2 linked regions of the Lepisosteus oculatus genome follow. The main gene of each other region encodes a partner of the protein of the gene in region 2 in a complex. Links are inferred from orthologs where the notes say so. Each region holds a gene or a part of one and is shown on either strand. Other genes may lie near its edges.

Region 1 (7,663 bases), on a different chromosome or scaffold from region 2:
TTCTTCTCCGAAATCATAAGCCATGATTTAATACAACTGTATCAGTACTTTAAACATTGCATGTGGCATTTTCAATTAAGGTGAGTATTAACCTCCCTCCCCCTCACATTTCCTCCAGAGGCCTGTTGCAGACAATGCAATAATTCCATATATTCAAGTATTTGAAGAAGTAAAGTTGTGTGCTTCGCTCTTTCTTTCTACTTTTCAGGGTGGAAGTGACATCTACTGTACAGTATGTATTCCTTAAAAGCTCGCCAAACTGGCCTATTTCCCAGCTCTATCACAGACAGACAATCATACCTGTTACTCCGTCATAATTGCTGTGACTCTATAAAGGACTGTAAGAACTCATTCACTTATTCTGTGTTGCTTAAGGGAGGCTGTCACTTCCTCTTGTCAGACCAAGGGATGAATGGAACATGAGAGTGTTCTGAATTAGCACACCCCCTTGACTATAGTCCGGAGTGGTGCAGTGGCTCTGTGGCTCAGGATCTGCCCCTGTGGCTGGAGAGTTGCTGGTTCAAATCCTGTGGCTGGCAGAGGAATCCTACTCTGTTGGGCTCCTGAGCAAGGCCCTTCACCCCAGCTGCTCTAGGGGCACTGTATAAATGGCTGACCCTGTGCTCTGACCCCAAACTTTTCTCCCTGTCTGTGTGTCTCATGGAGAGCAAGCTGGGGTATGTGAAAAGACAAATTCCTAATACAAGAAACTATATAGGGCCAATAAAGTGATCTCTTATCTTAGTCTGCACTGGTAAGCCAAATGTAGACATTGTTGCCAAGGTGCTAAAAAGGAAAAAAAAAACATGGATAACTTTATTTCTGAACAAACTTAACCATCCCTCTGGTCCCGTTAATGTTAGTATTTCAAAGTGCAAGTATAGTTTCCCCTCACACTGGTGAGTGAGTAATTTAATATTGGTTCAGAATTTAAGGACATTGCAGTCAAATTATTTGCACAGGCGCTCCATGCCTTCCTGCTAGACACTGTACACTCTTCACTGATCACCATGATCGTCAATCCTGTAGCAAATGCTCAGGCCTCTGACGTTTCAGCTGAAAAGTGAAACGTGCAGAGACAATTAATCTCTCGATGTCTTGGTAATGTAGCAATTAACAGAGGCATTCCTGTCCCATGCAATGTCACAGGGCTCCCACCCTGAACATATCCCAGAGTATTGTGCTCCAGGCCATGGATAAAATACTGTAACGCATACGGCCATCAGGGTGTGTAAGAGCCGGCTTACCAGAGCGTTGACGTTGCCGCCCTTCCCTGTGATAGCAGGACCACAGCCCCTGGGCTGTGGAGAGATCTCTCTTTGGCTCACCAGGCTGGGTCCCTGCTGAGTGACATGGGAGTCCTGGGGTCAAGCCCCTGATGGTGGGGGGCTGACCTAATGCGGCATGGGCGCCCGCCTGAATCCCTGTTGTGTTACAATACTAAACCACTGGCCGTGTCGATAGGCAATAATGAACATTTTGTATCGACTCAGATCCTGAATACAAAGACTTCTACCAAGCAAATGAGCAAGATGGGTGAAAGGGTCTCTTGTCAGTTCTAGCTTTGTTTACGTTCCTATGTTGCTGCTTATACTGCTGAAGTACTGCTGGGATAGGAAGCACTGATTTTCCAATATATTGCTCATGACAACATTTGTTGCTGCTGAATGGACCACTGACTTAACAAAGACACAAGGACCGAATAAAACAAAATCTCTTCAAACACTCAATGAGGGCTTAGTAAATACTAGCCAGTAACACTAGGAAAACATCAGCAGTGCTTGGTCCCCTCAAATCCACTATCATCAAGACCTGCAAAGTCACAATCAAATCCTCTCTCGGGAAACAATGGGTTTAATGGTAGATCTGCAGGTTCATCAACCTCCTGTTGATGTTCAAGTTCAAGGCCTTCTGTGTTTGGTAGAATGACATCAACTCCAAGCAAACTAAACCATGATAAGACAAGGCAAGCTTTGAAAGGAAGATCTATAAAAACAGACAGTGGAAAGACATGTTAACAAAGATCAAGTATCTCTCCAATATCCACAATATGCTCAGCACTTTCAGTGTCATCAAAACCATCTAGTGTCCAAGAATGCAAATACCAATCTCAATGAGACTTAAGAAGACACGAGATTTGATCAAGGAGAAAGAAGTTCTTAGCAGTCATTGGAACATTTAGAAGAACATCTTAATGAAGACACTCATGTACAGTAGTAGACACTGGTCTCAGCTTCACTTCACAACAATCAGTCAGCTTTGAACCTGGAGAATGATAGAGAGAATTTTCACCTTTTCATCCATCAGAGAATAGATGTGCAAGAAGCCATCTGGGTTGTCTCCTTCCACATGCTGAAAAGCACTTTCCACTCCTCTTAAGGTGGCTTCAGACTTTCAAAAGGACCAAGAGGATCTTCACTGAGGTTTACAAGAGAATGGGACTGGCCCTTACGTCACTCAGAAGATAAAGACCCTCTCCAGCCCTGGCAAATTCAGATTCACAGGAAGACTCTAGAATTCATTAAGCCTTTCTTGCACCATGGAGAACATTTCTCACAACAAGGCCTGTCAGTTGTGATTCCTGTCGTGTTCCATGGAGCTGAGACATAGACAACTGTAATAGACCTCCCTTCAATGGTTGCATAGCAGGGGAAATCTGGACATAAAATGTCCCTATTTCGAGGACGTTAGAGAGTTATTATACCTTCCATTCCTTGATGTTAGTCCGTAAGAGGTCACACCTCCCACAGATAACAGTGGAAAACTCCTGATTCTCTCAAACTTGTTTCTCTGGTCTGCTCAAAACTGTCTTCTGTCTTCCCAGTTGGCTGGCATAACTACCTTTCAAAATGATTGCACCCAATTGCACCCTGAGATTTTGCGTTTCACTGTTAAGCAGGTTGTGACGGTCTGAATAGACAGGCCTTGTTTGTAGGTCTTTTTATGGGCCCACAGTGTTGACAGATGCAGCCAGTTTCGTGTCGTTGCCTTCTGGCAGTTTGGCTGCCGAGTTACCACAACACAGAGAAGAAATCAAATCCGTTTCAAAAGCAGTTGTCTTGAAAGATCTTTCAAATACAGCCAGAAGGCCGTGCGTCTTTTTCAAGCTGATACAACACAAATCTGGGTGATGTAACAGAGGACATCCACTTCGTCACAGCAGCTATCTCATCTAAATATCCAACTCCCAAAGCAAGGCCTTTATCTGTCTCAGATACGTTACATACTGAAGGCAGAGGAAACACGTCAAGGCCAGGAGGAGGAAGTGAAACATTGACAGGAGGCTTTGGGAAACTACTGCCTGTCAGGGAGGAAGAATCTCCTGGAAACATCTCAGCAGCTTCCCACCATACGATGGCAACACGAGACAGGAAGGCAGGGACAGAAGAGTCCTGAGCTCACTTGGTAGGCCCAGGGCCTCAAAACACAGTGTTGCTGGATTTCTTGATTTGCGTTTTTCCCTGTTGTCATACCACTTTTACGAAAAGGTTTTTAACTGGGAGGCTTCATCAGCGTTGTGGGGTACAAAGGAAGCAGCAGAGGCTCATTCCACACTGGAAAGCAGAAAGAAAAAAGGCCCCAAGATGTGAGAGGAAGGCTCCACAGCTGAAACACTGTGTTGTTTCTTCCTTCTTTTTGCTTTTCAGTGTGGCATTAACATCTCCTTGTTCCCGTGAGCAACATCTGAAAACACGATCTTTTCCATGAAGCTGAGATTAACTGACAGGAGATCGCTGACCCTCACAGAACAAACACAACTGTTATTGCACTGTGGCTGACTCGGAGTTTGGACAGTCAACTTTTTGCAGTTGCTCTAAAATGTGCGCATCTCCAAAGGGTTTTTCAAGGGAATTCATAAAACCTTAATGTTCCCCTAGTTTAAAGTGTGTGGTAGCATTGAACTTTTGACAGTCCATATTTGTTGACAACATCATTTCTAACTACAGTCCCACACAATTAAGAAATCAAGCATGAACAGTAAAATTTAACTGAAATTTAATTTATCACCACTGAAACCATTAAAACCATTAAACTAAAACCATTCAAAACTATTCTGAATTCAGAAAATGTTTCCAAAGTATTTTTTGCTGCTCTGTAGCTTTGGTACAGTATGTTTTGTTTATTCCATCTATTTAATACAGTATTTGTACAATGTGGTCAACATTTTTTTTTATTACAAATACTCTTTTTTTAGAAATCCAATAGACTAGGATATCATAAAGGAAAGAAAAAAACCCTGAAGTAAAAATCGTGTTTTTTTGTGTGTGTGTGCTTTTAGGCACACATTTGATTTCAAAAGAAAAGAGCTTGCCCAGCTCAGTTCGTCTATCTTTAAACCGCTTACACAGACTGCAGGAATCCAACAAAAAGAAGAAAAATTGACATTGTAACTGTAGGTCTAGGTTTGTCTGCAAAGTACTGTACATCAGATGAACGAGCACGACATAAACGCTAATGACAGCAGAGTTTGACAACGAAACGGCATGTCATGGTGTAAGAACTAAAGCTGCTAACCTTGTCCTGCAGAGGAACAGGACAGTCCTCTTTGCGAGATACAGTACTGGTCACAGATAAGCAGAACGAGAAGAGTTAGCGATGGCGCAATCAGACCCACTGTGTTCCTTTCGTTGGTAGGCGAAAACAAAATCATAGGTCCTGACGTGGAGACCTGTGCGTTTTCACTGTTTTTAGGCCTCTCTCGTTTCCCCTGTCATGCTGATCTTTGAACTTTTTGCTGCCATCTGCCTTCAATCTGGAGGGCTCGATTCCTAGCTAAACTGCAATGGCTCGGCTTTTGCAGATCTGCCTTTTCTTCGCGGCGCAGGCATCGGTAGGAGCCGAGGGTATGTTGACTTTCGTTATACTGTGTCAAGATCGGTTATTTTTCTTTGTTAAAATTCATTTTGTTCAGCCGGTTTTTTTTTCCCTCGGATGTTTTTTTTTATTTAAAAAAAAAAACGAACCTTAGTAGAAGAACCCAGCTCACAGTTTGTAACTATAGTCTGGGATGACATTTGGGGGGAAATATTTAAAGAAGTAGTTTGAGGTGAGCCATGCTAGAGGTATTTATCAATATTTGAAACCTAAATACAATTGTAGGCTGTGTGCCAAAGAAGTGTGCCTAACTGCCACGGCTAGTGTTTTCTTTTTTCGACTGAAAAGGGGAAATATCAAAGTATAGTAAATGGACATAGCCTGTGTTTTCAGTGTTTGTGGACAAAGCGAGGGCAAGCCAGGTCTTCAGCAGGAGCCGCCGGGCGAACACTCCCTTCGAAGAGTTTCGGCAGGGCAACATCGAGAGAGAATGTCACGAAGAGCGCTGCAGCTACGAGGAGGCGAGGGAAGTGTTTGAAAACACCGAAAGAACGGCAAGTACAGTTCTGTGCCATCTCCCCACCGCAACACGGGCGAAAAGGGCCGCTTGAACGGTTGTCACTTGATTAATGCCACCATAAACTGGTAGAAGATGGGCTTTCTTCCTACTGTACTGTACGTGTGACACGGTTTTTTTTTCTTTTTTCCTAGGATGAATTTTGGAACGTGTATTTTGGTAAGAACCCCAGATATGAACATGTGTGTGTGTGTGTCATAAGCTTTATTTTAAAAAAATAAAATATTGAAATACATCGGGTCACAGGCAAGGTGGATGAAATGAACACAGACCGTCAGTCACATGTGAATCTCCGGGGCTGTGGTATGTGGTAGTTTATGATCTCACACCTGAACTTGGTAAATAAGTGGGGCGGTTCATATTTCTCTCTTGATTCGTTATGTGAGTTAGCGGATGTTAAAATATTGCATTTTAATTGAGTGAAAATAGTGAGAATCAGTGGCATTCTGTCGCTGTGTACATGCAGTACTGTATACAGACTGGTGTACCCACCCTTTAAAAATAGTAATCTCTTATTTGTTTATGTTGGGTTTTTTTTGTATGTATTGCATGTTATTTTAAATGTATATATCAAAGAAAGATAAGCAAATGCCAGACATTTCTGAGAATTAACAATATATTGTAGGAAAGCGTATTGGAGGAAATGTTTTTTCTTCTTTAAACACACAATGGTACTAAATCATTTAAAGTTGTTTCTAAAAATTAAGTAAAACCAGTATATCCATTGGATTTTATCATTCTCATCCTTGTTCTCCCCAAGGTTTGTAAGAGAAGGAAATGCGACTAAAACTGGGCCTCTTCATTTCCCTCTCTGCCTTGTGTTGGTAGATGATTGATGATCTAAACAGGGGCTCCATTCCTCAGATTCTCTGGACAGGCTGTCTCTTAATCAAACCGCTGCTGGGCTTGAGGGCAGTTTAGACAGGAATGTGCTCGTTCAAGGAGAGCCTGGAAGGGGTAACTCCTTCAGAATTCTGAATTCTGTGAGATTTTTATTATGCATTTGCTCCAAAAATAAATATACTAAAGACCTGTCCCAAACAAATATATACAGCATACAGTACGCAGAAGGTGATAAACTAAAAAATGCACTGAAACATTCTGTGGTGAAGAATTCCGTCTTAAGGCGGTCTCAACCTCTGAATGCAAAATAAAGCAAATAAAGGCTAAAGCTCAGTGAGTCCAGCTGCAGACTCATACGGATGGAGATATGCACCTAGACCTCACTGACCTGGATATCCTTAGTAGATACCAGGCTTTGCAGTGGATGTTGGCTAATCTCTCAGCTATGACAGCTAGCAACCTCCTCTGTACCTCCGCTTTGGAAGAAGGAAGACAACAACAGAGAAAGTAAACACGAAATGAAATACATGGCTTCCTGTATGGCCCTGCAAAGACCAGTCAGAATAAAATCAAATGGTGCCACAGGGCTGAGAGAGCACAATGGCAGAAGGTCAGAGAGGTGTACAACCAGGAGGAGAATGAGAATCTGAAGTGTAAATTAGCAGAGTGTGATCCTCTGTGTGGAACCAGTAATACTGTACACTCAGATTCAGTCCAGACAGCAGACCCTCAAGGCAATTTAGGTACATCAGTAGAATCAACTTGTGATATTCAGCAAGGAAGAGTGAAAGTATTTTTCTTCGTAAAGAACTTGCTGACTTGATGGGGGACAATGTGTTGTGCAATAATTAAGAGTCCTTGTCATTTTCCAAGGACCATATTGATGAGGGTTAAAAGACACTACCATTCCGTGGAATCAGCTTCTTGTTTCCAACCAGCAGTTGTTTTCACATTGCCTGTGTCAGTCTACACACACACACACACACACACATACACACACACACGTGTCATCATCTCAGAACTCACAAACCCCTTTCCCCCAGACGGCGATGCCTGTACATCTCAGCCCTGCCTCAATCGTGGGAAATGTAAGGATGGCATTGGAGCTTACAGCTGTCTCTGTGAAACTACCTTTCAAGGGAAGAACTGTGAAATCGGTAGGTGGGCAAGTACACCATATTATAAACTCTGAACCATTAATCATTCTGGAGTCTGACCCTGATCTGTGATCTTTTCTGACCCCCACCCAGAGATTCCAAAGCTTTGTGAAAACAACAACGGGGGCTGCCAACACTTCTGCAAAGTGGTAGATGACAAAGTCACGTGTTCCTGTGCCACGGGCTATTACCTTGATGAAGACAGGAAGAAGTGCTTGTCTGACAGTAGGTATTTTCAACGCAGGACAGATAACTCGCACGCCATACTTGT
Region 2 (7,715 bases):
TGGCACCATAGACCACTTCACTGATGTTCTGGTAGGTCTGGTTAAAGGCCAAAGATTTTTCCCCAAAGAGTCGGTTGGCAGAAACCAGTTCGGCAGTCGTGTCGGCTTTACGGTACAGTCTACAGTTAAGCTTGGCAAAGAAGAAGTGCACCTGGTCAGAGGTCTTCTCCTTGATGGAGTCAAACTGGAACACCTGCAAGAACGGAGCTGGAGTGAGTTTGAACCACAAAGCTGGAGAAAGTTACACACAGCATGGGTAATGGTATTCCCTTAATGATAGCAGGGAACAGAGATTCAAAAGGCACTGAACAAATGTAAATATAAAACTCCAAATGGTTATGCATATGTAAAAATAGCTATTTTCATACTAGGTCTAGAACATTAGGGTTCTATGCAATCAATCAATTGGAACTCTATTTTTGAGAAAACAAGAAAGCATGTTAAAATCTCACAGGAGGCAATGCTCCATTTGGGTTCAAACAGAATCCTCTTTTGTGCTGAATTGTATTAATCCTGTACACAGCTGATGGACAAATTAACAGAAACCATTATTCTGAATAGAAAAAAAACATTGCAGTCTGCAGTGTAAGTCTGTCTTCTTAAAAACATAGCAAACATCAGCAAGACATGTTACAAACATGGGGGAAGAACAAAATGTGGGAAGCTGCAAAATGACCACAAGAACGTACCTTGCTAAATGTTTGTAAATGAACGGCAATATAATTCTACACATCATACTAACTTTTGCCATCACCTCTCTTTTTTTTAGCTTGACAGGTACTTCTGCCATTAAAATGCAGGAACTGAACTCTGATGGAGATGCTGTGTATAAGATCCTGAGAGTCTGGAAGCCCCGATGCAGGAGCTTATGCCCCATTTCAGACACACACCTGCATGATCTCCGCAAGCGTCTTGTTGCAGGCGCCCAGCTTGGTCATTGCGAAGGCAGTGGAGATGCTGATTGGGGACATAAAGATATTGCTGGTAGCTGACTTGGAGTCAGCCATGTTTTTGTACAGGGCCAGGGCAAAGCGGCTGTTGGCCTTTGACAGCTCCCACACACGGGGATTGGTGAGTTCTGGGATCTTGTCTGGTTCTGCAGCTTCATCTCCTGCTGTGTCTTGGCTGCGGTAGATGCACATGGGCTCCAGTGGAAGGTCCTTGGGCTTTGCTGTGCAGATATCATCCACAGCCAGAACGCCACACAGGCACGTAGCCAAGACAGCCAAGAGCCTCATCCTGGGGGCAAAATGCACGTCAGGGCCCAGGTTGGGTCAGTCACTAAAGCAGATAGTCTATATGTTCATGCATGTCACGACCATCAAGACTAGGTACAGCAACATCTTGACACAGTCACAGTGAGTGTAGACAAAACCCCATTATCTAAAGGCTGTCACACCAGATACAACTTGTATTTATACCAGTTATAACATTTCTAAAGGGCAACACTGAATGTTTTCCATAGGAAACTCAGATTCCTTAACATAGAAAGAACTATTTCAACACTTTGCTACAACCTTTTATTGAAAGTGTTTTAACATACTGTCTCTCTGGTTCATTCAGCAACATCAGTGCTGTTAATAGTAATAGGTTGGGAAAAATGAAGAAGGTAATATCAAAATCATTGGGGTAAACCATCTAAATGCCCTCTACAAACTGACATAGATGTCTAAGAGCATTATGTAGAGTTGTGTGGCCCAACCTTTGCATGGTAAATTAACAGTACTCCCATCTGAGAGACACCTCTTGTTTCTGCAGGTATAATGGACTCAATACATCTTTCATCCACTCTGCAATCTCCCTCTCAAACAATGTAAAATAAGTTTCTGATCTCCTGAAACACTGTTGTTCTGAATTCTTTGCTTGTGATGCTTGTTTTTTCTGTTGTTGTTATTTTGGAGCATTCTTTGACATTACTTAGACATTGTAGAGCTCACATATCATTGTTTCCAATGAAACAACTTCTACAACTTTCTACAACTGGCCACCTCAGACTGGATCGAATGTCCACAACTTGAATTGAAAATCAGGAAGCAGATGTTACTCAAACAAAAGGGCTAAAAACTGAATGGATCAAGACTAGGAATTTCACCCTAGTGAAGAAACCCAGGAGTTTCTAGATAAAATTCCCCAGTGGCCTTAGCAATGATTAAGGAAAAAGAGACCTATGAAGGGCATTGCTATTGGACATTGTTTCTCAATAGAAAATATTTGTAAAAGACACCTATTGATTTCTGTCCATGTTATTTGCTGGTGTGCAAAAAAATGTTGGATTGCCCAATGTTGCCTGCGATTGCACAGTGCAGTGTATTCCAACGTCACTGAAATGTTCCACACCTTATTTCCAAGCTGGCAGAGGAAAAGCAGAATCAGATCAAAGGATCTACCTTACCTGTAGTGTTCATGTAATTTGAGGTTAATCAATGAAAGATCATATTTTGATGCAAAATATATGAAACAAAAAATATCAGAAATTGATATGCAGTTTAGAATTCCACAATCTACTTTATGTGTGAACATCTCAATTTCAATTAAAGTGATCTACAAGCCAACAACAGAAACAGAGCAATTTTAAACTGGCAATTTAAGGGGCCCCAGCTGATAAATTGAAGCATGACCAACATATTTAGCCAGGATTAAAAATATGAACACTGATTCAAGAAAGTGTTAGGTTAAACTGAAATAAGAAAACAAACTTTCTTAAGATAATTAGAATGCTGCCATTAAAAAATATTTTAATTAAATATAAGAATGGCTTTGTATAAAAACTTTTAAAAATTCAAGATTTGAAGAGCACAGAGACCCCATAGCATAATTGTTTAGTCCTAGAAGCAAAACGTAGAGGAACGTAGGGTTTCTGTTGAAAAAGGACTTTTGGTTACCTTATACAACTTTACTGAAAAATTCCACATATTTGCAGCAACACTTAAGATTTTAGGTTGCCCAAAGAAAAGCAGCAGTGAGATCCTACCTTACCTGTAGTGTCCGTCTTCCTTCAGTTAACAAGCCAAGCTGGAGCAGCAGTGAGACAGAATGTGGACGGGAGACCATAAACTCGATAAAACGCACTATGATGAACACAGCGAGGAGTTCACTGGCCGCCAGTGCAGAGACAATCAATCAGATCATCGTTTACACAGGATAACTGGTTTGGTTAATCTTTGAACTTTTGGGATTAAACACGGAGAAAAAAGATTTTTTGCATTACTAATGTGGTTCTTTAACATTGTGAAATGAGCAGCCTTGCCTTCTCACACATAGAAAATACACTCACAAATCCCGAAACACCTTCGGGAGCAACCAACCCAAGAATATTTTTCATCTGCCATTAAATTTCCATACTTTAAAGACAATTTAGCTCCTATTTCAATATCAACAGTTTGCTCACATACTAATAAAATTAGGGTGCTGCTGCGATCTACTTTTCTGCAGGGAAGTAGCAGTAAGAAGCAAGACGTTTACTGCTGCACTGTCCTTGGCATTACTGTGCTTGGCTGCGGTAATTAGTCTGTACCAGGGTTCACAGTTGAAATGATTAAAGCAACAACTGCACAGGTGTGGCCAGAGAAGCTGAATGCTGGGAAAATGGGGGTTTACTTCACAAAGTTTCAGGGGCAGCAGACCTGTGAGCGATCAGGTGTCTAATCTGTATAATTTAATCTCTAATAAATAAATCGATTCTTCTCAAGCTGTGTTTCTGGTGCATATTTATGTTCTCAGAATGACCCCATAAATTAAAGCTTGGCTGCTAAAGGAAAATCAGAGAAGTCTGGTTCTGGCATTCCTCTATTATCTCAGTGTTTTGCTAGGAATAAACAGTTTTAGATATATTAAAAACAGTACTGATCTAATGAATTTGCTTTTCAGCATGGAATAAACCTCTACTTGTTCACATGCAGCTTATGCATGCTGCACAGCTACCTAACAAACCTCTGTAAAGCATGGCACTTTATTAGCAAGACTGTGGAAGCCAACTATCCAACCCACTGAGCACAGAACATGAGGTTTCCGTTGTTCTATTTAAAAATCTAAATCCTGAGACAATCATTGGATATGTCCAAAAAGTTGAGCCAGAAGACATTCTTGGGAAGAGTTGGGTTATCCATTTTAGAAACCCTTAGCTCATGTTCAATGAAAAAATGGCATTCAGAAAGAGACTGACTGGTCGGAAACCGTGAAAACCCTTTAATTGAGCAATGTAAGAGGAGCTCAGTATCACTTGGATGTCAGTCACCAATGCTCTAGATCTAATACATTTAGAAGCTTTTGTAAAGTGATGCTTGGAATGGGGAGACTGAAGAGTACAGATCCCTCCTAAAAATGTATACAACATCAGAACATTAATCCCACATTTAGCTTCAGAAGGTCTGCAATCTAGACCCAAATATTAAGGGCTGAAACTGGCACTCCCTGGGTCTGCAGTCTTAGCGAACATTTCATGTAGCATCACATTACAACAAATGGCAATGTTGTGCATCACACGTGATAACATCCCAAATAATATGAGGAAGCTAAGGTGAATTCCTCTATTTGGCAGTGTGACCCATGGCTAGCGCAGTCAGCACAAGCCTGAGTAATCTGTGCCATTTCCTTACAAAAGCAGGGTGCTATCTGTGTGGAGTTATGTTCTCCCCACGTTTGCATTGGTTTCCTCCCATGGAAAGTTCAAAGACATCCAAGTAGGTCAAACAGCTTTTGCGAAAACTGGTCCTGGTGTAAGTGTGTGTATATGCATGCCTTGCGATGGCTAGCATCCAATCCAGGAAGTATTCTTTCTTGTATCCATTGCTTGCTGGGATAGGGCTCTGGCTCCCCCACAACCCTATATTGGATTAAATGGTTAGAAAATGGATGGTATTGGCTTCAACAACATGGCATCTTGTTCTAAACACCCACCACCATTTTTTAAGACAATGGACTCGACTTTTGTTTTTCTATGCGCCCCCTGGTTCGCATTTCATTGTTGTAGTGCATCCCTTTTCTATCAAACTGAATGCAGGAGTATTAAACCCATCGATGCAGAGAATTCCTGTAAGGTTAGTAATGTTCATAACCCAAGTGTTATTACTCTATTCCCGGAAAGAACCACTTCAGCAGATATCATAGGCCACCATTAAATACTTAAGACTTGGAACATCTTCATTGTAAGTTCTCTTACTTGAACACATGACTTGCTGAATTTATCAACAGCTTTAAGGTGATCCCAATCTTTAGTTTAGGTAGCTTATAAGACTTAACAGATTTGAGGTTCTCTTTAATGATAGGAGTCCCTTTACCTAATAACTCTTAACTTCCCCTACTCATTTTAGCACAACTGAAAAAAAAAAACAGATCTGCAATTTTAAGATCTGCTACTGCCTTTAACAATTCTGAAGCTTTGTCATTCATGAAGCAGTTTCTGACCATGCAAATCCCTCCATGAAAATCTGCCTGAAACAGCACAGTGCACAATGGGACTATCAACACTTTCTCTCAGGATCACTATAATACCATGTGGAATTTAATACTGAACTCCATGGCACCAGACAGATGTCTGCCTGACAAGCAGCTCACCAGTCTGCCAGTGTACGTGTTGTTCCAAATATGAACCCGTACCAGTTAAATCCCCGATTGCTCAAATGGATAGTCTTAAAAGAGAAAGGAAAAAATGTTGTGTGGTAGCATGCAGAGGTTTATCATTGGAAATGAATGCAAATGAGACAGAAGATTTACAATATTATTTAATCACAGTCCCTGCCAGTAAAGAATCACTGTTGCACATAAGTTACATTAATTTCACAGGTTTTTTTTGTTTTTTCTTCTTCAAACTTCCAGTTACTCCCTCCTGACTCAAGGAAAAAAGAAGCGGATTGTATTATACAAAAATGCAAACCAATTTTCACACAGTGAATTCTTTTTATATGAAGAAAAAAGTATAACAGCTACATCCATATTGGAGAAAGATAATTCTAAACATTCCTTAATGGAGTATAATATAAAAACAAACAATTTTTGAAGTTAAACTTGTACCTTAATTTAAGCAATCTATTACAAGACAATTTGGGAGTAATCATCGAAAGCAATTACGTTCCCAATGTTAGGAATAAAATCAAAACAATGCAGCAAGAGCAGCCCAGTCTTGTTACAATAAATGCAGTTTGTATGGAGGCAGGGGAACATTCCTGGTGCCCCTCAAGAGTGCTGCCAGTGCTCCATTTGGGAGGCAAATTTCACTCAAGACCCTGTCACTATGTTTCAAACTACAAGCTGAGTAACTGTTGTGTTGCTAAGAGCTGTCATCTCCCCAAACTGAACAGAACACACTGTACTACTGATACAGTGACCAACACAGATCTTACAAAGATCAAAAAAAAAAATAACCCATCACTTTTCAAGGACCAAGAGACCGGCAATGCTTTCATAGCAAAATAAGTGGTCAAATACAGCTAGAATCAATGCTTCCTCTTTTATTTTTCCCTTCTAGAATACACTGGTAAAGTTTTATCTACCTCACATCAAAAACAGTAACAGCAGTGTGACAGGTCTCAGATCTCTGTTAGAACCAACAACAGTAAATATTTAGTCTAAAATGGAAACGTATTTGAAATTGCAAAACCATTGGAGTTACAAAATGTGTTTTCCTTCCTGCTTTCCAGTGTCTCCCAATTTGAGCAAAAACAGACACTCTATACGAAGCTCTCAGTCAGGGACTTGGGGGTAAAGACAAACTTGTTGTACTGTCATCAGTTAAGGAATCCAGTTGCAAACTGACGGCAAAAGGTAAACAGTAAATGCTCCACTATATACCTACCCTGATTTCCCTTCGTTTTCTAGAGTGTGAAGGGGTAGATGAGGATATGCTGAATGAAAAGAAAAATGGCCATTATAGCTACAAAGTAAAATGAACAATTCTATAATTTTTTAAGAATCTGGGTTAAAGAATAATACCTAGTCACAAGAAGAGGAGAAATATGGCTGCACTATTATTCTGTTGTCCTATGGTGACTTGTAACCTTTCAGGCCATACAGTGAGAAGGCAACGTGACAGCCTGTCAAATACAGCACACTGTACTTTCTGAGCTTGAAATAAGGTTTGGTTTATTCTTTGTCTAGATTTGCCTAAATGTTTTGAAAGGTGAGCTGGATTTTCATTCTATTTCTGCCAATTGTCAATACTGTTTACCCAATGCATGCATTTTTATCATTTCAGCATGAAGTTTAAACAATCAAAACTAAACAATGTAAAAGACAATGTGTATGTTTTTACCCACAAACCCACCCCTGAGTGAACTGCAAGCTTGGTGAAAACACACAAACATGTCCTCGGCCATAGCATGGTTTATCAGAAACAGTGTAGCCACGGCGAGTCCCCATCAATACCTGAAAACACAGAACATTCAATACAGTACAACCTTACATTAAGCTAATTTTTTTGGACATTGTTTTTCTTTGAACAGACACAAAATGGCTAAGTAAACAAATGTTACAAGTCTGGCACTGAACTCCTTTGACTAAGAAAGGATAAGAGTTGTTCAGTTGTGCATTGGCAACCAGATACAGATCATTGCATTACTGATTTGTAGAGATCATTTAATATAAATGCTGACTCCAAGCGAGTGTATTAACAGTTGCACATTATATCTTTATTTACAGGTGTTATGTACCCAAACCTTAAATATATTCAAGAACCCGCCAAAAGGCACATTTATCAGGGGTGATCGTCTGGTGTGTGACAC

The links. Proteins that work in one complex are often made in the same cells at the same time.
Region 1: the proteins of serpinc1 (region 2) and f10 are in contact, whole or in part, in a crystal structure (PDB 2GD4), measured with the Homo sapiens proteins. The link is inferred for Lepisosteus oculatus from reciprocal best matches to the Homo sapiens genes SERPINC1 and F10. Residues at the interface, in NP_000479.1 of Homo sapiens: Asn265, Thr266, Arg267, Glu269, Met283, Met284, Tyr285, Glu287, Tyr292, Arg294, Val349, Val420, Val421, Ile422, Ala423, Gly424, Arg425, Ser426, Leu427, Asn428, Pro429, Asn430, Arg431, Thr433; in NP_000495.1 of Homo sapiens: Asn254, Glu256, Glu258, Gly259, Phe260, Cys261, His276, Cys277, Gln280, Ala281, Lys282, Thr318, Tyr319, Arg366, Lys370, Gly371, Arg372, Gln373, Phe396, Asp413, Ala414, Cys415, Gln416, Gly417, Asp418, Val437, Ser438, Trp439, Gly440, Gly442.

What each region holds. Positions count from the first base shown.
Region 1 is NC_090710.1:28,697,262-28,704,924, forward strand, and holds the start of f10 (coagulation factor X), read left to right. Parts: upstream 1-4,563; 5' UTR 4,564-4,783; coding exon 4,784-4,844; intron 4,845-5,208; coding exon 5,209-5,369; intron 5,370-5,526; coding exon 5,527-5,551; intron 5,552-7,278; coding exon 7,279-7,392; intron 7,393-7,485; coding exon 7,486-7,617; intron 7,618-7,663. UniProt on the Homo sapiens protein: Factor Xa is a vitamin K-dependent glycoprotein that converts prothrombin to thrombin in the presence of factor Va, calcium and phospholipid during blood clotting.
Region 2 is NC_090704.1:19,397,931-19,405,645, reverse strand, and holds the start of serpinc1 (antithrombin-III), read right to left. Parts: upstream 3,098-7,715; 5' UTR 3,052-3,097; coding exon 2,972-3,051; intron 1,240-2,971; coding exon 891-1,239; intron 194-890; coding exon 1-193. UniProt on the Homo sapiens protein: Most important serine protease inhibitor in plasma that regulates the blood coagulation cascade. AT-III inhibits thrombin, matriptase-3/TMPRSS7, as well as factors IXa, Xa and XIa. Its inhibitory activity is greatly enhanced in the presence of heparin.